2 linked regions of the Ovis aries genome follow. The protein of the gene in region 1 interacts with the protein of each later gene in a pairwise test. Links are inferred from orthologs where the notes say so. Each region holds a gene or a part of one and is shown on either strand. Other genes may lie near its edges.

What was found. The genes of interacting proteins can lie anywhere in the genome.
Region 2: the proteins of UBE2L6 (region 1) and RNF144A interact in a two-hybrid assay, tested with the Homo sapiens proteins (2 studies listed by BioGRID and IntAct). The link is inferred for Ovis aries from reciprocal best matches to the Homo sapiens genes UBE2L6 and RNF144A.

Annotation. Positions count from the first base shown.
Region 1 is NC_056068.1:79,626,591-79,636,695, forward strand, and holds the end of UBE2L6 (ubiquitin/ISG15-conjugating enzyme E2 L6), read right to left. Parts: exon of another isoform or gene 9,945-10,105; intron 7,592-9,944; coding exon 7,405-7,591; intron 4,252-7,404; coding exon 4,100-4,251; 3' UTR 3,514-4,099; downstream 1-3,513. Other genes in the region: SMTNL1 (smoothelin-like protein 1), read left to right, coding at 1,151-1,295. UniProt on the Homo sapiens protein: Catalyzes the covalent attachment of ubiquitin or ISG15 to other proteins. Functions in the E6/E6-AP-induced ubiquitination of p53/TP53. Promotes ubiquitination and subsequent proteasomal degradation of FLT3.
Region 2 is NC_056056.1:16,762,388-16,772,727, reverse strand, and holds the start of RNF144A (E3 ubiquitin-protein ligase RNF144A), read right to left. Parts: upstream 6,204-10,340; 5' UTR 6,137-6,203; intron 5,670-6,136; exon of another isoform or gene 5,567-5,669; intron 1-5,566. UniProt on the Homo sapiens protein: E3 ubiquitin-protein ligase which accepts ubiquitin from E2 ubiquitin-conjugating enzymes UBE2L3 and UBE2L6 in the form of a thioester and then directly transfers the ubiquitin to targeted substrates.

The sequences.
Region 1 (10,105 bases):
CATGCAGTTGCTCAAGCACTCCTGCCTCAGGACGTTTGCACCTGCTGTTTTCTGGAACCCCCTTCTTGCAAACATGTACCCGATTTACTTTCCTGAGCTTAAAAGTACTATTTAAGTGAACTTCTCCTATTAAAAACCCCTTAGGGGAACTCTGGGCTTCCCTGGTGGCTCAGATGGTAAAGAGTCTGCCTGCAGTGTGGGAGACCCGGGTTCGATCCCTGGATCGGGAAGATCCCCTGGAGAAGGAAATGGCAACCCACTCCAGTATTCTTGTCTGGAAAATCCCGTGGATGGAGGAGCCTGGTCAGCTACAGCCCATGGGGTTGCAAAGATTTGGACACGACTGAGCGACTTGTTTCTCTCTCTCTTTTCGGGGAACTCCCTGGCGGTCCAGTGGTTAGGAATCTGCGCGCTCACTGCTGAGGGCCCAGGTTCAGTTCTCGGTGAGGGAACTAAAATCCCAGAAGCTGTGAGGCACTGACAATGAGTAAATAAACGCCACCACCAACATATTACAAAAGCAAATCCCCCTGAACACAAACATGTCCTGTCCTTCCCTGCCTTATTTTTCTCTGTAGCATCTCTCATCCTCTGACATACCGTCAATTTGTTTGACGACTGCCTGTGTTCTGCCACGAGAACGTTGATGAGAATGGGGGGTTCTTATTCTGTTCAGTGTTGAACTCCCTGGAAGAACGCCTAGCACGTGGTGCCCCTCAGTGCATGCACAGAGCCTGGCTGAGGTGGAGAGTTGAGGCTGCAAGCCCACACTGTAGCCAGGATTATCGTTCTGTGCTGTTCACTCCTCCCGCGGGGCCTGTCCTTCCAGAGGACGGACACAGGGGCACACAGACGGGTGGGTTACCGCGGAACCCCAGACCGGAGGGCCCCGCTCCCACGTGACGACACGTGGGGCATAAACACACAGGTTTTGGAATCAAAACCTGAGTCTGAGTCTTGACTCCGCTGGGCCTCAGCTGTCTCATCTGTACAATGGGATAGTTGCGCCAGACGAAGTCCCAGCGCTGCCGCACACAGTCCTGCGGGCTTCATCCTTGGGGGGCTGCCCCACCCCGTCCCTTAGACCCCCACCTCTTTCCCTGTCGGCTCTCTGAACCCCACCTCTCACCCCTCCCCGTCTGCCCCTCAGGAAACTGGCCGACTGCGCCCAGCTGCTGGAGGTGGACGACATGGTGCGGCTGGCGGTGCCCGACTCCAAGTGCGTCTACACCTACATCCAGGAGCTGTACCGCAGCCTCGTGCAGAAGGGGCTGGTGAAGACCAAGAAGAAATGAGGGGCTGGCCGGTGCTGGCCCGGAGCCCCCTTCAGCTCCACGGAGGTGGCGGCCCCAGTCTTAACTGCATTAAAGGCTCTTTTGTAAAATCCCGTCTGGCTCCCCGGGGCTCCCTCCCTACCCTGCTGGGGACCTCTCTCACTCTGGGATAAGCAGCCCCGGCTGCCCGCTTTCCTCACCTGAGGTGATTTTCTCAACAACCGTGACAGGCATCTGTGCCAAGAAGCTGTGTGTCCCTGGGCAGTGAGCAAAGCTCTCTGAGCTTCAGCTCGCCATCTGAACGGGGATAATAGCAGCTCAAAATCCCGCAGGTGCTGTGAAGGTTAAATGGGATTACGTAGACAGTATCACTGGCCCAGTGGTCATGATTTTGAGCAAACTCTGGGAGACAGTGGGGGCCGGAGGAGCCTGGCGCGCTGCAGTCCATGGGGTCAAAGAGAGTCAGACGTGACTTAGCAATCTAGCGACTAACAATGACAACAAAGGACCAAAGACCTGGCCTGGGGCCTGCCACATACACGTTCTCGGACAAGGAGGCCTGGCGTGCTGCGACTCATGGGGTCGCAGAGAGTCGGACACAACTGAGCGACTGAACTGAGGCAGTGGCCCAAAGAAGCGACATCCTCACGCTTCCAGCCACGGGTGGCACCTTCCCACGTTCTTCCCTCTTTCCACACTTCTCCTACATTAGGGAATTCCAGGACAGGGACTGGAGGAGAAGATTCTCTAGAACCCTCACTCAGACTCGGCTCATGGGGCCTGGAGGTGACTCCTTTGACCCTAAGATACTCCATGTTCTGTCTCTGAAGGGCCAGTGGTTGGGGATTTCCCTGGCAGTCCAGTAGTTAAGAGCCCACACTTCTACTGCAGGGGGCATGCATTCAATCCCAAGTCAGGGGACTAATATCCTGCATGCTGTGTGGTGCGGCCAAAAATATGGGAAAAAAAAAAAAATGCCAGTGGCTTTAGAAGCTCCTCCAGAAGCTCCTCCTTTGTGCCAAGATAATCCCTGAACTCTGGCTGAGGTTTTGTTTCTGTTTTCCACTGCTCACTAGAGACGAGCCCTAGAGCTGAGTACGCTGCTGCAGCTGCTTGCTTAGTTATTTCTGTCGCGCCCGACTCAGTGCGACCCCGTGGGCTGCAGCCCGCCAGGCTCCTCTGTCCATGGGATTCTCCAGGCAAGGATACTGGAGTGGGTTGCCATGCCCTCCTCCAGCGAGACCTCCTGCCTTGCAGGCAGATTCTTTACCGCTGAGCCACCAGGGAAGCCCAGAGCTGACCCTAATTTCCTAACAATCCTGTCTGGCTTTATCAGCCGTTGGGAGCATGTGCGCTGATGAGAGCGGCTCAGGAGAAACACAGAAATGAAAGCCGCCAGCTCGGCACTGTGGCAGAGGTGCAGACTCCGCCCAGGTCAGCAGAGGGGATGTGGCAACCCACTGGAGGGCTCGGTTAGCCTTGGTCGCCTGCTGTATAAAACAGGGGGCGTTACCCCTGTGGGTGGGTCTACGACCCCTCTCGCTGAGGATGGCCGGGTCCCTCACAGCCAGCTTTTCCCACAGCGCTTGGGGTCACACAAGGATCCGTGCCCCGCGAGCCCTCCGTTGATCCGGAAGCAAGCATCTTTCATTCGACTGCAGCTAAACAAGCCTCCTCCTGATGAACCACTTGCCCCCTCAGTGAACGCTCAGGGGTGGACCCTTGTGTTTAACAGCTGAGCAAACTCACGGTCTCCATGGCTCCCCTTGGACTCAAGCTGGAAGGGAAACCCCTCCTGGCGTAAAGCCGGACGCTAGGAACCGGCCACCAAACCGGACAGCAGTGGTTTAAAAACCATGGAGTCGGGGCTCCCCTGGTGGCCCAGGGTTAAGACTCCGCCTTGCAGTGCAAGGGACGCCAGTTCGATCCCTCGTCGGGGAAGACTGCACAGGCCGCGGGGCAACTAAGCCCACGTGCGACAACTACCGAGCCCATGAGCTGCAGCTGCTGAGTCCGTGAGCCTGGGGTCCGCGCTCGGCAAGAGGGGACGTGCGATGGGAAGCCCGGGGCTGCAACGAGCGAGGAGCTCCCCCTTGCCGAGACTCCAGGAACTGCAACTAGCGTGTCGCTCCCCCTTGCCGCGACTCCAGGAAACCCAGCAGTGACGGTCCCAGCTCGGCCAAAAAATGAAATACATAAGTAAATCTTTAAAAACAAAACGAAAGACAGTACAGTCAGATTTCTGGGGTGGAGAGGAGATTCTTCACTTTATGATTCATCAGTGGAAACAAAGGTTTTGCACCTAAATCCATACAGGTCTACAATGCAACCGCTCCATCCCCAGAGCACTTGGTTTTAAGAGTCCCTCCTCCCCCTGACCCCCTCCTGGTATGCATCCCACCTGACTTGCTGCCCCAAAGCAGGGCTCTGTGAGGGGCGGGCATTCGGGTTGGCTGCTCATCTGGCTGGGAAGGTGACCTGAGTCTCTAAGATGGACCAACCGGTGGGACCAGGAACCCCATCACGGAGCACTGGAGAGCTGGATTTTGAGTCTGCAAACCTAAATGCCTCTGGCTCTGGGGCAGAGAAAGGGGCTGGGGAAAGCACATCTGTGGCCAGTGGGTCCACACTCATAACGGCAGTCCCCTCCCCGTACACACACACACACACACACACACACACACACACACACACACACACACACACAACCTAAGAAGGAAATCTTGGAAGACACGAGCAAGTGCAAGATCGCAAAGAGGCTCTGGCCCCCCGTCCATGAGGGGCGTCCATCCGTCACACAGAAAGCAGGCGGGTCAGAAGCCGGCTTAGGAGGGCCGGTCCACTCCAAACTGGAGGGTGAACTCTTGGGCCGTCCGGTCAAACAGCTCTGGGTCCTGCGTCAGCTGCTCCGCGAGCTCTAGCCGAACGGGCTCTCCCGGCTCCGGCTGATTCACCAGCACGTTGAGGGCCTCCAGGACTGGGGAGAGAAGTCAGATCAGGACATCAGGAGGGAGAGAAAAAACTCCTGGGAAGGAAGCGATGCCGCCCACTCCCAGATCCTCCCGGAACCCACACCGACCCACGCCTTAGGACGGCTCTACTAGGATTTGCTCTCTACGAGCAAATCAGATGCCACTCAGGGTCCCCGATGACGGCGTCCGAAGCTCTCATGAGCAGTTATCTCCGCGGTTTCCAACCTGTGTTCCACGGTGTCACAGAAGCTGTTCAAATGGGGCCCCAAGGGTCGCGAGGGTCGGTGAAATCAATGCGGTGTCTGAGTTCTGTTCCCTTTTCAGCCAGAACTCTGCTTTTGTTGCGTCTGACTCTCTGAGACCCTGAGGACTGCAGCACGCAGCCTCCTCTGTCTTCCACTATCTCCTGGAGTTTGCTCAAATTCATGTCCACGAAGGTGGTAACAGGACTCCAAAACTTTTTATTTGGGGAAAAAAGGGTTCCGAGGCTCAAGACTGGAAACCACTCCTGCCTTGTGGCTTGAAATCTTTCACGGGTGACTTTGGGAACCGGGAAGGCAGTGCCCCCCCCTTGTGCCCGTAGGCATGCACACAAGCGTGCGGCCCTGGGCTCGGGGCGCTCTGCAGAGCTCTGGTGCTCACCAAGGACCACGCCTCTGCCTCTCCCCAGCACTCGTTTCCAGGGTTAAGAACTCCCGAGCTGATCCAGAGGTGGGATATTTTTTAAAAGCATTTATTTATTTATCTGGCCTCCCTGGGTCTTCATTATGGATCTTTAGTTGCAGCCTGTGGGATCTAGTCCCCTGATCAGGGATCAAATCAAGGCCCCCTGCATTGGGAGTGTGGAGTCTCAGCCACTAGACCACCAGGGAAGCCCCCAGAAACAGGACTGATCACATACTGATTACGTCCACGACTAGGGCCACAGTGCCTGACCTGTCGCTGCAGCCATGTGTGGTCATCTTGATTTAAATTAATTGAAATTCATGACAATTAGGAATGCAGTTCATAGTCCCAACAGCCACACTTCAAGTGCTTGAAAGCTACATGGGGCCAGTGTCTGTGGCATTGGACAGGGCCGCTATAGACCGACTCCATCACTGAAGAAAGTTCTGCTGAGCCGCGCGGTTCAGAGCCGGCCAAGCGAGGCCTCGAATCCCAGCTCTGCCGTCTGCCAGCTCAGGTAAGAGCTCAGCTTTCACAGGCCCGTGTCCTGATGGGGCCGATGAGAGCACTATTTCAAGGGGCTTCTGGGGGACTGAATGAGGCTGATGTGTTAAAAATGGCTGATTGCCCTGGGTTAGAAAGTTCAGGTTCTCAGTGGTGCAGGGACGTATGTGAGACCAAGTCCTCAAGGGCCATCAGCTCCATTTTTGTATTCCTGAATTATGATTAATCCAGTATAATTCCAATTTGTCATCCATGGATGTACACCAAAAATACCATCTGGAAGAAAAAAGTGACTTTTTATGCTGGAGAGGGTGGGTGGAAGAGAAAACCCTCCTACTTTGTTGGTGGGATATGTAAATTGGTGAAGCCACTATGGAGACCAGTAGGAGGTTCCTTAAAAAAATAAAAGTAGAGTTGCCGCACGATCCACCAATCGCACCCGAGCATATACCCAGAGAAAACGCTAACTCAAAAAGCTACGCACACCCCAACGTCCGCAGCAGCACTGCTTACAACAGACAGGACATGAGTGCGACCTAAATGCCCACCGACAGACAAGCGGGTAAAGAAGACGCGGTAGACACGCACCGGGAAACAGTACTCAGCCGCAAACCACAGTGAAAGGACGCCATCTGCAGCAACGTACGGATGGACCTGGAGATCACCGTATCAAGCGAAGGAAGTCAGGCAGAGAAGGACAGATACCGTATGATATCCCTTACATGTGGAATCGTAAAAAGATACACGTGAACTCACGTACAAAGCAGAAACACTCACAGACCCAGGGGAAGCAGGAGAGGAGGGCGACACCAGGAGCTAGAGGTGAGCAGATACGAACTGCTGCACGCAAAGACAGTCAGCAAGGCCCTGCTGTGTCGCCTGGGAAACCACTCAGCACCTGTGATAGACGCAGTGGGAAAGAGTGTGGAAGGAACGCATATTCACGTGGATCCCCGGATCACTTTGCTGTGTGCCATAAACCAACACGACATTGTAAATGAACCGTAAAAGTAAAGTGAAGTCGCTCAGTCGTGTCCGACTCTTTGCAACCCCATGGACTATATTAGCCTGCCGGGCTCCTCTGTCCATGGCGTTTTCCAGGCAAGAATACAGGAGTGGATAGCCATTTCCTTCCCTCAAAATTAACCATACTTCAGTTAAAAAAAAAAGTGAACTAAAAAGACACCGTGTGAAGCTTTCAGCGCAGTGTCAGAGTGCCTGCTGAAGCGACGCACGTCATCGCTAGGCCCGCCCTTCGGCTGTGCTTACAGCACCGGACCTTGCGTCCACCACCAGTCCCATCCGCAGCTGCGGACTGTTTCTGCTTTGGCTCTGGCCCTTCGTTCTTTCCGGAGTTATTTCCCCACTGACCTCCAGTTGCATGCTGGGCACCTCCCCACCTGGGACGTTCCTCTTTCAGTGCCCTATCTTTTTGCCTTTTCATACTGTTCATGGGGTTCTCAAGGCAAGAATACTGAAGTGGTTTGCCATTCCCTTCTCCAGTGGCCCACATTCTATCAGACCTCTCCACCATGACCTGCCCGTCTTGGGTGGCCTCACACGGCATGGCTTAGTTTCATTGAGTTAAACAAGCGAATTCAGCGAATTCAGTCACTCGCTCACGTCTGACTCTTTGCAGCCCCATGGACTGTACAGGCTCTTCTGTACATGGAATTTTCCAAGCAGGGATCGTGGAGTGGGCGGCCATTCCCTTCTCCAGGGGATCTTCCTGACCCAGGGATCAGACCTGGGTCTCCTGCGCTGCGGGCAGACTCTTTACCATCTGAGCCCCCAGTGAAGCCCTGGTAGTTTCTTGCCTGGGAAACTCCGCGGACAGAGGAGCCTGGGGGCTACTGTCCCTGGGGTCACAAAGTCCGGCGTAACTTAGTGACTGAACGGCAGTAAACAGGAGCCACCGACACGAAAGTGGCCCCGTGACCCCCGCCCCGACTCGGTCTGGGGCCCTGTCCTGGCGGGACCCAGCCCACCTTGGCAGGTCTTGGTGCTGGCTTTCCAGTTCTTCTTGTTGATGAGGGGCAGGCACACCCTCCCGTCCCTGTCCACGTTGGGGTGGTAGATCCTGGTGGTGAATTTCACCGTGGGGGGCTGGAACGGGTACTCCCTCGGGAAGCTGATGCACAGCCTGAAGGCCTTGAGGTTGTAGGGTGGCCTCTCCTGTGCGAGAGAAGGAGTCATGCTCTGGGCAGAGGCACCGCTGCCCTCCTCCCCCAGGACCTGGGCCTGGCTCCCCCTCCCCGCCCCGCCCCAGCGTCCCAGGCTTCCTCTGCTCCACTCCGAGGAAGGACCGTGAATGCAGACACAGACGGCACGTGCACCCACGTAGCAACTGGACTGTGCGTCAGAGCCCCCTGGCCTGGCACTCCCACGAGTCAGATCCTGGCTTCTGCTGTGTGCCCGAGGGCCAGCTGCCTCCCACCCCTAAGCCTCAGCTTCCTCCCTTGAGAAATGGGTGCAGTTTGACTGGAGACATCCTCAGGACCACCTTAGCTTCTTTTTATTATATCAGTAATTAACATCTTTCCAGTTTTATTGAAAAATAACTGATACACATCACTAAGCTTAAGGCGTCGAGCTTGATGGTTAGATTCACATATGCTGTGAAAGAATTACCACAATAGGTTCAGCTGACACCCATCTTCTCATATAAAAAAACGAAGAGAAAGAATAAGGAAAAAAAAATTTCTCCTCGGGGTGAGAGTTTTTAGGATTTACTTTCTTGACCATTTTTCTAGGACTTGTCTGGTGGCCCAGTGGTTAGGAATCCGCCTGCAGACATGGGTTCGATCCCTGGTCCAGAAAAATCCCATATGTCCCAGAGCAACTAAGTCCATGAAAGTGAAGTTGCTCAGTCGTCTCTGACTGTGTGATCCCATGAACTGTAGCCCACCAGGCTCCTCCATCCATGGGATTTCCGGGGCAAGCATACTCGAGTGGGTTGCCATTTCCTTCTCCAGAGGATCTTCCTGACCCAGGGATCGAACCTGGGTCTCCCGAATTGCAGGCAGACGCTTTACTGTCTGAGCCACCAGGGAAGTCAGCTAAGCCCGGGCGCCACAAGCACTGGGTCTGTGCCCTAGAGCCCGGGAGTGCATATCCCGAAGCCGTCTCGCCCTAGAGCCGTGCTGCACAAACCGAGAGTAGCCGGCGCTCACTGCGACTAGGGGAAAGCCTCTGCAGCGACAGAGACCCAGCAGAGCTTAGGCAGTGCATACTATTACGGGTATTTTACCACCTTAAAACAACAATTCGGAACCGGAGTGCCTAAGCGTTGCCAGGAGCCAGCAGAAGACCCTCTGCTGCTGCCGCTGCTGCTAAGTCGCTTCAGTCGTGTCCGACTCTGTGCGACCCCAGAGACGGCAGCCCACCAGGCTCCCTCGTCCCTGGGATTCTCCAGGCAAGAACACTGGAGTGGGTTTCCATTTCCTTCTCCAATGCATGGAAGTGAAAGTGAAAGTGAAGTCGCCCAGTCACGTCCGACTCTTAGCGACCCCATGGACCGGCAGCCTTCCAGGCTCCTCCGTCCACTGGATCTTTAGCAACTGGAAGGCTTTCCTGCACCCGTTCTGTGCTGCCTGCTGCTAAGGGCTTGACACGCATTAGCCCATGCAGCAGGGTGTAGGGGTTACGTGGGCTTCAGGCCACGCGGCTGGAGTGTGAGCCGTCGCTCTGTCAACCCCATGCCTGTGCGACCTTAGGCGAGCTGCCGAACATCTCTGTGCTCTCCTTACAGAGAGTCACAACCTCCTCCACAGGGCTTGCCCGACAATTAAATGAGTCGATTCACTTTTCTTCTAAGGTAGTGAAGAGTGCACCAGCTTATTTTATTTTATTTTTTTTTTACTATTTATTTATGTATTTGGCTGCACTGAGTCTTAGTTGCAACATGCGGAATCTAGTTCCCTGACCAGGGATGGAACCCAGGTGCCCTGCGCTGAGGAGCACAGGGTCTTGGCCACCGGGCCCCCAGAGAAGTCCTGTGCTAATTCACGTCAGGGATCTAGAATATGGCCAGGCACATGGCAAGCACTCCTTATGTGTCAGCTCTTAGGGTACGTACTTTGAGAACTCATAGTATTAGCATCAGGATTTCCAGAAGAAACAAGTTCAGCATACACAAGTGACCTGCCCAGGGTCACAGCAACAGTGCCCGATGGGGACTCAGCACGGTCGACTGGACTGTTCCACACGGGAGCAGTAACCCACACCCCTAGTGGGGGGGACCCCAGGGCTCGGATGAGCCCAGCACAGCACACAGGGGCCTCCAGGCTGCTGCGAAAGCTCCAAACCCTTTCAGAACCTTCGTGGCAGAGAAGGCAGGAGAATGACCGTCAGGACGACATACGTGGGACTTCCCCGGCGGCCTGGAGGCTAAGACTCCGTGGTCCCAGTGCAGGGGGCCCACGTTCGACCCCTGGTCAGGGAGCCGGATCCCACAGGCCGCAACTAAGACCCGGCGCAGCCAAATAAATAAGCCTTTGAAAAAAGAATGACATACGGAAGTTCGGAGTGAAGGTTTTAAGAAATTCCCTCTTCCTGAGCAGAAGGCAGAAAGGGAGCTGTGGCAGTCATGGGTGTGTCCGAGCAAATGCTGGGCAGATAAAGAACATGTGTTCTCGATACCGTGCAGAGGCTGGGGCTGGGGCACAGACCCAAGACCAGGGGTGAGGC
Region 2 (10,340 bases), on another chromosome or scaffold:
CGTCCCAAAGGCCCACCCGCGGGCTGGGTCTTGTGGTGCACCCCTGCACCACAAGCCAACATCCCACCCACCTCGGCCCCACACAGTCCTGCAGTGTCCTTCTCTGTGGCTGGACCTCCCCAAAGACAGAGCACATCTCTATTTGTTCAGATCCTGCTGGAGAACAGAACACGAGCCCGGATCCCATCTCCTCATCGATAACCTACTCCACGTTCCCTTCTGGACCAGGTTTCTTTCCCTTGGATTCAATCACGGAGCAAAAATGCACTTAGAGACACCATGACGGGCACTGAGGGAATGTTAAAATGAATAGGTCCCTACATTTGTAGGGCTTGCAATTTAGTAAAGGAAGGATAAAGTTACAGAAAAATTAGATTAGAGAGCTTAAGTGCAATTCCAGGTTCTGAAAAAAAGCCACCATAGAAACACCTGGTAGAGAAGAGGCTCCCAGCTCACAGCAGGAGGAAGATAGATGCTCGGGCTGGAAAGGGAAGGGATCTGATGGGGCTCCAGGGCCTGCATTTTTCCCTCTCTGCTCCACGCCTGCATTTCCTCCTCTGTAAGGCGCCACTGCTGGAGGAGTCGGCCTCCACGGCCCCCACATCAGTGATTCCACAGCTTTAAGAAAAAGGCAACATGCCTGTGGAGCCTGGAAGGATCATTAGGAATTTGACACCTGGAGGCGGAGGGAGAATGTTTCAGGGTCTAAGTGTGGAGGCTGAGAAGAGATCAGTGTGGAAAGACGGGCTGGAACCCAGGAGAAACTTACAGAGCCTCGATCCAGAGGCACAGCTGTGACTTCATGAGCAGCAGTGTCTCAGCCAGAAAGTTGTCAACTTTCTGGGTCAGTGGTGAGCCTGAAGAGGGTTGGGGAGTCGGGGAGAGACCCCACAGAGAAGGAACAAAGATTGTCCCGGGATGGACACACGCCTGAATAATTCAGGCTTCAGGACACCCACGGAAGAGATGATTTACCTTCAGGTGAAAGAGGCCCCTAACACAGAGGTCTGCACACTTTCCACCCATGAGCTGGGGGAGCAAAGAGCCTCTCTGTCCTGCAGGCTACCCCTCCTGCAGGCAGTGTGGGCAAGCCTCACCAGGGAGGGGGGCCGCAGGGGATGGCTGGCAGGGCTACTCTGGAATGACGGAGCAGCTGCAGAGAGGCCAACCATGGATGGGGAGCAGGACACACACATCACCTGCCGCCATCCGGGAACCACTTCCCAGACGCAGAGACAGAGCATCAGGGAACGGCTCCCTGCCTGCCTGTGAGGCTAGCAGGTCAGCGGGAATCCGAGAGGCAGTCTCTGCTGCTCCTTGGGTGCAGCGGGCACAGTCCCACCTCCCTCCAGATCACCCAGACGCTGGCACCCCAACATCAAACATGCCCTGTTTCAAAGGACTGCTTGAATACTTACTGACCTAAACTAAAATATGTCCCAGGTCAACCGCTGTGCGGGAGGCGTTCCAAGGACACACGTGAAGCCCTCTTTAACCAATCACCTAGCCTGAGAGACAGAGTCAGTATTTTGGTTTGGAATCCTCTACCCCAGCAGCACTGCTGTGTCCTGGCCTGCAGGGCGGAGCTGGCAGGAACAGGGGTGACCCCAGCTGCACTGGCATCCTTCAGAGGCCTCACTTCCAGCTCAGTGCTCACCCACCAGGTCGGGCTGCCACCCCCTGGGGAATCACGGCAGCCTTGCTCAGGTGACCCTGCAAGACAGAGCGAGCAGACCCTGGGCTGCAGCTGGGCTTCCTCTCATCTTCCCAGGACACCCTCTCCTCTACAAGCAAACTGGCGGGATGGGGGCAGGGGCGGGAGAGAGAGAAAAGAATCCAAAGAACTCGCGCTGGTGGCAGCTGGGGGTCTTGCTTTGAACAGGGTTCAGAGACAGGGTCACCCCCCAGGACAAATCCAGCACAGCTCCACTACACCAGCCGGAAGTTCCCTGCACCCCCAGGCAGCTTCTTGCTGCTCTCGGGCCCAGCCTGTGACCCTGACCTTCTCATCTGCCTGCCAACAGGGACTCGTCCTCAAGACCCAGCCTGCCTCACCAGCTCCAGAGGGCAAACTCCTCACCATGCTCCCCTGCACTGTGCGTACCGACCCCAGCGCTAGAACAATCTGTGACCGGCTGCTTCCCAACCCCTAGACTGTAGCCTCCTCAAGGACAAGGAATATACCTTTTTCCCAAGGGTCTCTGAGTTCCACGCCTGCTTTAGCATGTACCAAGTGCCTGGTATTGGACTCCATAAGGTCTCCTTAAGCCTCTCCCCTCCCCTGTAGATCGGGGAAGGTAGTGATGCCTGTCCTTCCTACGGGCCACCTGAGAATTGGGTCCACAGCACTCAGAGCCCTTCCCATCGGCACCTGGTGATGGAAAGGCTAAATGAACATCCACCGCTTCCTGGTTTTCCAAAGTCAGACCCCAAGAGACTGAATATCACCTAGTTGGCACAGTTCATCACGACATCCAGGAACTTACTTTTCTCCTAACCCTGCATCCAGCTCATCAGTTTGCTCCTTAGAGAAAGCCCTGCTCTCTCTGCACCTGCAGGCTTATCAGGAAACACCATCAGATCCAGGCTTTAGACTCCAGGAAAGAAAGAAGATACAGACTCTCATCATCAAGGAATGACCCTCTTCAAAGCCCCATCTCTCAACTTATCATCTCTGAGGAAAACCATTGTTCTGAAACTGATACATATATATACATATAATTTTTTATCTTGCAAAATTTCTTAAAAATGGTTGCATTATAAAGACTGATGCTCCTGGAAGAGACCTTTAAAGCCAGCACATTCTTATATCTGGATTTTGACAATCATTTAGACCAACATCTTAATTTCACAGTGGGGGGAAACTGGGGCCACACAAAGTAGTTAAGACACTTGCTCAAGGTCACAGAGCTGGGTTAGAAAGTTGTACAAGCTCTGTCCTTCAGGCGAACTCCCCAGCAGGTATATGAACAGTTGCTTCCATTTAATTTCTTCATCTAATTAAGAAAAGGTATGCATGTGTGTCAGTGATGCAGAAACAAAGGAGAGAGGAGACCGCTTCCAGAAATGACGACCTCGGATGACTTTTTCATCTCAAAGGAAAGAACCTTCAACTCAGTCCTTGGACCTCAAAGGTAGGAAACTCCCCCAAGTGAGTGTGGACAGGGTCCATCTTCCGTCGAAGCATCTCATTCTACTCACAGCCTCCTGGCTGCCCCTGACGGTCCACACCCCAGGGACCCAGGGCAGGTCCTCACTTGGCCAGATCCCCTGGAAGAGTCCCCTGGAGTGGCTCCAGACCGGCAGACCCCAAGGGCAGCGGACATGTCTCCATCCTCCCAGTTTAAGCATGGAGCCAGAGAGAGAACAGCAGACCATCCGGAGGGCTGGTGCGGGGCCCAAGCTGGCCACGGCTCTCTTTGTGGCCGCACCCCTGACCGCCCCCTCCAGTCCACAGTGTCCTCAGTCACAATGGGTGGCTGGGCTGGGGATCTGTGATGACCAATGAGCTCTGCGATGCTCACTCTGCGTGTGGACAGACTTTCCCTGTTTCCACACCAGAGAGAGAGAGGCTTCTAAGAGGGAGATGAAATTTGCACAAAAGAAGGCAGTGGGGCCAAACCATGAACCACAGTGGAAAACACAGGCGACGTGGCTCCCGGCGTCTGGCCGAATGGCACGTTCACCCCGCTGAATGCCAGCAGCTTCCACTGAAGTGTGGGAGGTCCCTTCCGAGTCCCAAACCACATGGAGTCCACAGGCCAAGCCCTGTACTCGGGCAAGGATCTGGGTGCGATGAGCACACTTGATTAAAGCCAGCACACTGGACAAGCTTATAAAACACAGGAGTTTGAAAGTGCTCATGCAAGTCTCAACACCCCCATCTTTCAGGCCCCTGGGAGCCCACATCATCACCCACTGGCCGCAGCTCTACCCCCAGCATCTGACTGGTCCATCCGTTTCTCTTCCAAGGATCCTGACATTTGAACCAGAGCTTCTTTTTACACAAACTGCCAAACTCCAATGGTGCTGGATCTGGAAAACTCCCCTCCCATTAAAATTGGGTTGTTTGCATCTTGCTTTTTCCTGAGGTTCTCAAGCCCTGCCTGACCTTTCTTGAGAAGTACCAGGGGGACTAAAAGCCACACCTTCCACAACAGACAGCAAGGTTCGCTCCCCACCCCTCAAGCCGCCTTCCCCACTCTCAGTGGGGGCCCAGCCCACTCTCTGAGCCATCCAGAACCATCGATGGCTCCCACTGCCACAGGATCAAGGCCATAAGTTGGTCTGGAATTCAACATTTCACCACCTACCCTCATCTGACCACAATAGTCATAACTCCTTTGCACTCTCTAGAAAATAATAAAAGTAAGATTTGAAAAGGCACTAGAAACCCTTTGAAGACCAGGAAAGGGGGATCTCAGTTCCCTTTCCTGAAAACCTGCTTTCGGCACCATCCCAGAGGGACCACATCCAAGGAGCACACGGGCTGCAGGTCCGAGGAAAAGGTCAAGGCTCACACCTGTGTCCCTTTTCTCCCTTCCTCCGCTGGCCAGTTCCCTCTGGCTACCCAGAACCTGTCCCACCTCGAAGCTCTGACTCAATTCCGTCTTCACCAGCAGTCCAGACCCTCCCTCCCCAACCTCTCCCTCCTGGGAAGTCCCAGGGTTCTCAGGCAGGAGGTCCTCACCTTGCTCTCTGGGTCTCACACTTTCTTTATCCACGGGGTTAATCTGCCCTGCCCCTGGCCAGATTGCCTGGAATGCGTCCTTATCAGATCCCTAGGCCCCACTCCTGGGGAAAGGGCTTCCTTCCCACCATCAAAGCAAGAAGTGAGTCTGTTTCCAGTTCGGAGACCAGATTCCCCTCATCCCACGGAGGGCAGGACCCCCTGGGGATAGTCCCCTGGGTTCCCTCCACCCAGCCTTAAGGCCTGGCAGGAGGCCAGCACAGACTATTTGTTGACTGGGCTTTTTATGATGATTGTGCCTGTTCGCTGGGAAGAGGGCAGGGAGAGAGAACTTTTGGAGCTGGACATCTACGAGATCATGAGGGCGCAGTGAGTAACCCCTTCCTCCTCGGGACCTGATCGTCCAGATTCGCAGGAGGCCCAGAGCTGGGTGCCCAGGACAGTGCAGGGGAGCTGGGGAGCCCGCCAGAGGGTAGGATGGGGGGTAGGAGGTGGCGGAGAACTTTCCGCGTGCCCCTGGGGAGGGGAAGGTTTGGAGGGACCCGGGCGGCCGTGGTCCTGGGAGCCGGGATGTGCACCGGGTAGGACGCGGCGCTGGCCCACCGCGGCCGGGCTGACCTGCCCGCCGCCCGCCCGCGCCCCGCCGGATCGCCTCGGCCAGACCCCATTGGCCGCCCCCGCCGCCCCCGGGACCCGCCGGAGCGCCGGGACGCGGCGGCACACGGGCCACCCAAGGGCAGGGCCGGGGAGGCGCCCCTGGCGGGGATGGACTGGCCGTCGCCGCCGCCGGATCCGCTCGGCACGGCCACCTCCCCCGGGGCCCTGGGCCGCGCCCGCCCCAGCGAGGCCGACACAAAGGGGCCGCGCGTCACCCACCTGATCCCGCGCGTCCGGGGTCCGGGGGGTGGGGGCCGCCGCTCCTGCTCGGCCGCGGGCGGGGCTCCGAGCGCCGAGGTCCGCGGTCCGAGCCCGGCTGTCCGCGCCGCCCCGCGCGGAGCCGCCCTTTATTCCCGCCCGCCCTCCAGCCGGGGCGCGCGGCCCGCGGGGGGAGACTGGGCGGCGGCGCCGCGCGGCACAAAGACGCGGGGCGCACGGGCTCGGCCCCCGCCCCGCCCGGCGCGCAGCGCCCCCTGCCGCCCGCGCGAGGCCCGCGGGGACCCAGGCTCCCCCAGGACCGCCCGGACCCCAGGCTGCCCGGAGGAACGCCGCGGCCTCGGTTAGCCGACGCTCGGGGGCACGAAGATCCGCAAGCTGGGAGAGGAATGGGGGACCCAAAACACTCTTAGCGCGGCGATAGAAAGAGAACCGGGCCGCCGCCTCGGACCAGATCCGGGCTCCCGGAACCTGGGCTCCATGCCCTGGCGGGGACCGTGAGTAAAGGCTGAGGCCCTTTCTAAGCTAGCATCTCATCATCGCGCCAAAGGTCTTTGCCTCCCGGTACCTGACCTGCTCGACGGATGGAGCACCGGGCTCGTCCAGTCCTTCGGCTCCGTGGATTCCCGAGTTCCAGTCTGGGCTGTTGACTTCCTCTGCCTTAGCGTTTAGAGCTTGTTAGAGCCAAACGTATTTGAAGGTAGAATTTTCCTGTAAGATTTCTCCTTGCCACTCCCCCTAGTAACTAGAAGTTACACAGGTATTTAATTCTGTCTCCAGAACGCGTACCTGAACAAAACCTATTGATGTGTATGAAAGAATGCCTCCTTCAATACATAGATTCGTCTCCCGAAGTATGGGAAAACCCACCCTCACTGCTTTCGTCCTTAACACCACACCCTCCAGTGTTGACTCTGCAGTCTAGTACCATCACCTAATGGGCCCAGTGACCTTAACTGAGCAAGTTAGTTAACTTCTTTGTGTTTTGATTTTCTTATCTGAAAACTACTAATGGTCATAGAAGTCATAGAGATCTTGGCAGGGATTAAATAAGGAAAATAAGCAAAGAGCAGTCTCAACATAACTGGAAAATTGTAAGGATTCCATAATCCTTAGCTGTACTTTGTCTCATTTCCCCCCAAACTACAATATTCTTAGCTATCTTGACACTGCATAATTTATCTTCCTCTACTACATACACATCTTTACAAAAAAAATAATAATAAATCTGTCTCATCTACACTGAGAAGTTATTCTGGTAACTTCTCAAATATGAATCCCTCCCCAAATATGAATGAGAGCTTCTGATGTCTCTGTCAAATTCTTTGCATAAATGTCATCATTCAAGAAAGAAGGCACAATGGGAAGAATTCTAACAACACTTGGTTACCCCAGCCTCTCACCAGAAGATGAAAATGGTTCTGCATAAACGCCTGAGCTTCACAGAAAATATATTCGGCCCTTCTGTACAGGGGTTGTGGAGCCAGGAAAGCACTGGTGCGATACTGCTTATGAATGGAGGGATGGATGGATGAGAGCAAGTATCCGGGGAAGTGATGAATGTGTCCACACTGATGCAGATGCTTCTGTAGTTACCAGGGGCTTGGGAATCAAGCCTGGGGGAGAGGGGAGGAGGGAGGTTGGCAAGGAGAGGGTTGATGTATAAAACCAACCTCTCATTCAATTGTGTCATTGAGCCTTTGTGTCTCTTGCAAGTGCTTAAGCAGTGATGTGTATGTGTGTGACTGTGTGTGTGAGGTCATTCCCATGTTTGTTTGTCTTTGTTAACCTGCCTGTTGTTGGGGAGACGGGGAAAGTCAGCATCATCATTGATAACACAGTTTGCAGCAGGCCGTGCCCTGAATTTCAAGTTTCAGGACTTTTCTCTATGAAGTCTTCCTAACCTATCACTGCTTTCCCCATCTCCAGATGTCTGGAGTTGTGTAATAGTTCTTTTGTTTCCATGGCATCTGTTAGACTTCATGTTTTGGATATTTACTGTCTGATTTTTAGGTCATAAGAGTCTGTAGATGAGAAATGAAGTAAATTTTCTATTGAATTTCCCAGAGGGCCTTGGGCATAGTAAGTGCTCAGTAAATGTAGATGAGTCCTCTGCCCTGAGCCGTGTCCTTCCTAGTTCTCTCCAACGAGCTGCCTGTATCTCTCGAGGTCACATTCACCCATCACTGATTGATTTTCAGTCCATTCCTCGCATGGCTTTCAACCGTCTCACCCAGACGTTTGTTGTGTCAAGCTCATTTTTAAAAATACCCACTGTTGCTAAGCACTTGTGCCTGTAGGCAGCATGACTCATGATTCTGAAGAAGCCCCTTGTTGATTACCTACTGAGGGCAAGATTTTGTGCTAGGTTGTTGCCAGGGAGTCAATGCCCCAGCAAATGGTCCAGAGGCTGGAGAAATGGAAGTCCATTAGGAAGTTCCTTCTCTAGCTACAAAACTGAGTGAAGATCAGGATTCATTCGGTGGCTTAAATTTAAACCTTTTCAGGCGGTAGAGTTTGCATGGGTTCATGATCACACATTCTGAAAGTCCAGAATATTCACATTTCTTTAATTTTAAAAATTGCCTTAAAGTCAATTCCTTATTTCTGGAAGGTAGCAGGCAATTAAATGTCAGCTGTTGCTCTGATTGTCTCTCCCTGGAGGCCCATGGGTCCCTGGCGGGTTTTATGGTGCTGGGATCCAGGGTGTAACCCTTCATGCTCAGCCCACCTCCCTGTCTATCTAGAAGGCTCCTTCCCTGAGTCCTGGGTCCCTTCCAAGCAGGCTACGCTCAGTTTCTCTACCAGGGGCCCAGCTTCCCAGGTGGGCCAGAAAGCTGCAAGTTTCCTCACCTCCCAGGGCAATGCAAAGTCTCTGCTGCTCTCAAGGACTCTTAGGAAAGCTTTTCTTGTCCAACCCCTGCCTCCATTCCCACAAACACCTCCCCTCTATCTTTCCCAGCCTTGTTGTTCAGTCGCTAAGTCGAGTCTGACTCAGTGATTCTATGGACTGCAGCATGCCAGGTTTCCCTGTCCTTCACTATCTCCCGAAGTCTGCTGTAACATGCATCCATGGAGTCGGTGATGCCATCCAACAATCTCATCCTCTACTGCCACCTTCTCCTCCTGCCCTCAGTCTTTCAGAGGACTTCCCTGGTGGGTTCAGATGGTAAAGAATCTGCCCACAATTCTCAAGGAAGAAAAAATAAAATTTAGGAAAGATAACACATGGAAAGGGGGAAATTCATCCTTGTAATCGCATAGAAAGAGCACTGCTAGGGGTAAATTGGGCTTCCCTCATAGCTCATTCAGTAAAGAATCCACCTGCAATGCATGGGACCCTGGTTCAATTCCTGGATTGGGAAGATCCGCTGGAGAAGGGATAGGCTACCCACTCCGGTATTCTTGGGCTTCCCTGGTGGCTCAGCTGGTAAAGAATCTGCCTGCAATGCAGGAGACCTGGGTTCGATCCCTGGGTTGGGAAGATCCCCTGGAGAAGGGAAGGGCTATCCACTCCAGTATTCTGGCCTGGAGAATTCCATGGACTGTATAGTTCATGGGGTTGCAAAGAGCCAGACACGATTGAGCGACTTTCACTTTCAGGGGTGAATTGTGTCTCCAGATTCACAGGTTGAAGTGTTAGCCTACCCCACCTCCTGACATGAACTCGTATGGAAATAGGGTCATTGCAGATGGAATTAGTCCAGATGAGGACATACTAACTCAGTGAGGACATAGACTCAATGAACATCAGTTTGAGTAACCTCCGGGAGTTGGTAATGAACAGGGAGGCCTGGCGTGCTGCAGTCCATGGAGTCGCAAAGAGTCGGACACGACTGAGCGACTGAACTGAACTGAACTGAGGACGTACTGGAGAAGAGTGGGCCCTAATCCACCATGACTGGTGTCTTCATACAAAGGGTAAATTTCAAGGGACTTCCCTGGGGGTCCAGTGGCTAAGACTCCATGCCCCAATGCAGGGAGCCTGGGTTCCACCTCCGGTCAGGGAACTAGGTACGACAAGCCGCAGCTAAGAGTTTTTGTGCCACAACTAAAGATCCTGAGTTCTGCAACTAAGAGCTGGCATAGCTGAATAAATAAGTAGAAACAAATATTAAAAAACAAAGGGTAAATTTCAAAACAGGTACATAAAGGGAGCACTCTGGGAACATGAAGGGATGGAGATAAATTAATTTATGGAGATAAATTAAGCATCACTGAAGATTCCACCTGACCCCTGGAAGCTAGGAGAAGACCTGGAACAGCTTTCAGGTTCCTCTCAGCCCTCAGGAGGAATAAACCTTGCTGGCCCCTTAATCTCAGACTTCTAGCCTCCATAACTGTGAGACAGTAAACTTCCATCATTTAAGCCACTGGGCCAATAGTATTTTGTTTCAGCACCCCCCAGCTCACTAAACAAACAGCTAGACAGTGCCCATGTGTGACTAAAATTTGGAGAATAATTTCATAACAAAAATAAAAACATCATCAAAGGTCGTAGCTGCTGCTGCTGCTAAAGTCGCGTCAGTCATGTCCGACTCTGTACGACCCCATAGACAGCAACCCAACAGGCTCCTCTGTCCTTGGGATTCTCCAGAAAAGAGTACTGGAGTGGGTTGCCATTGCCTTCTCCAAAGCTCGTAGATTATGTGCTAATAAGAAGATTTCCATGCTAGTAAAAGAGTAAAAATATTTTTCTGGCACCTCTCAGAAAATAGAGACATTTTCTCTCTTATTCACTAAGTCTAGCACAGTAAGAACAGGACACTTAATACGT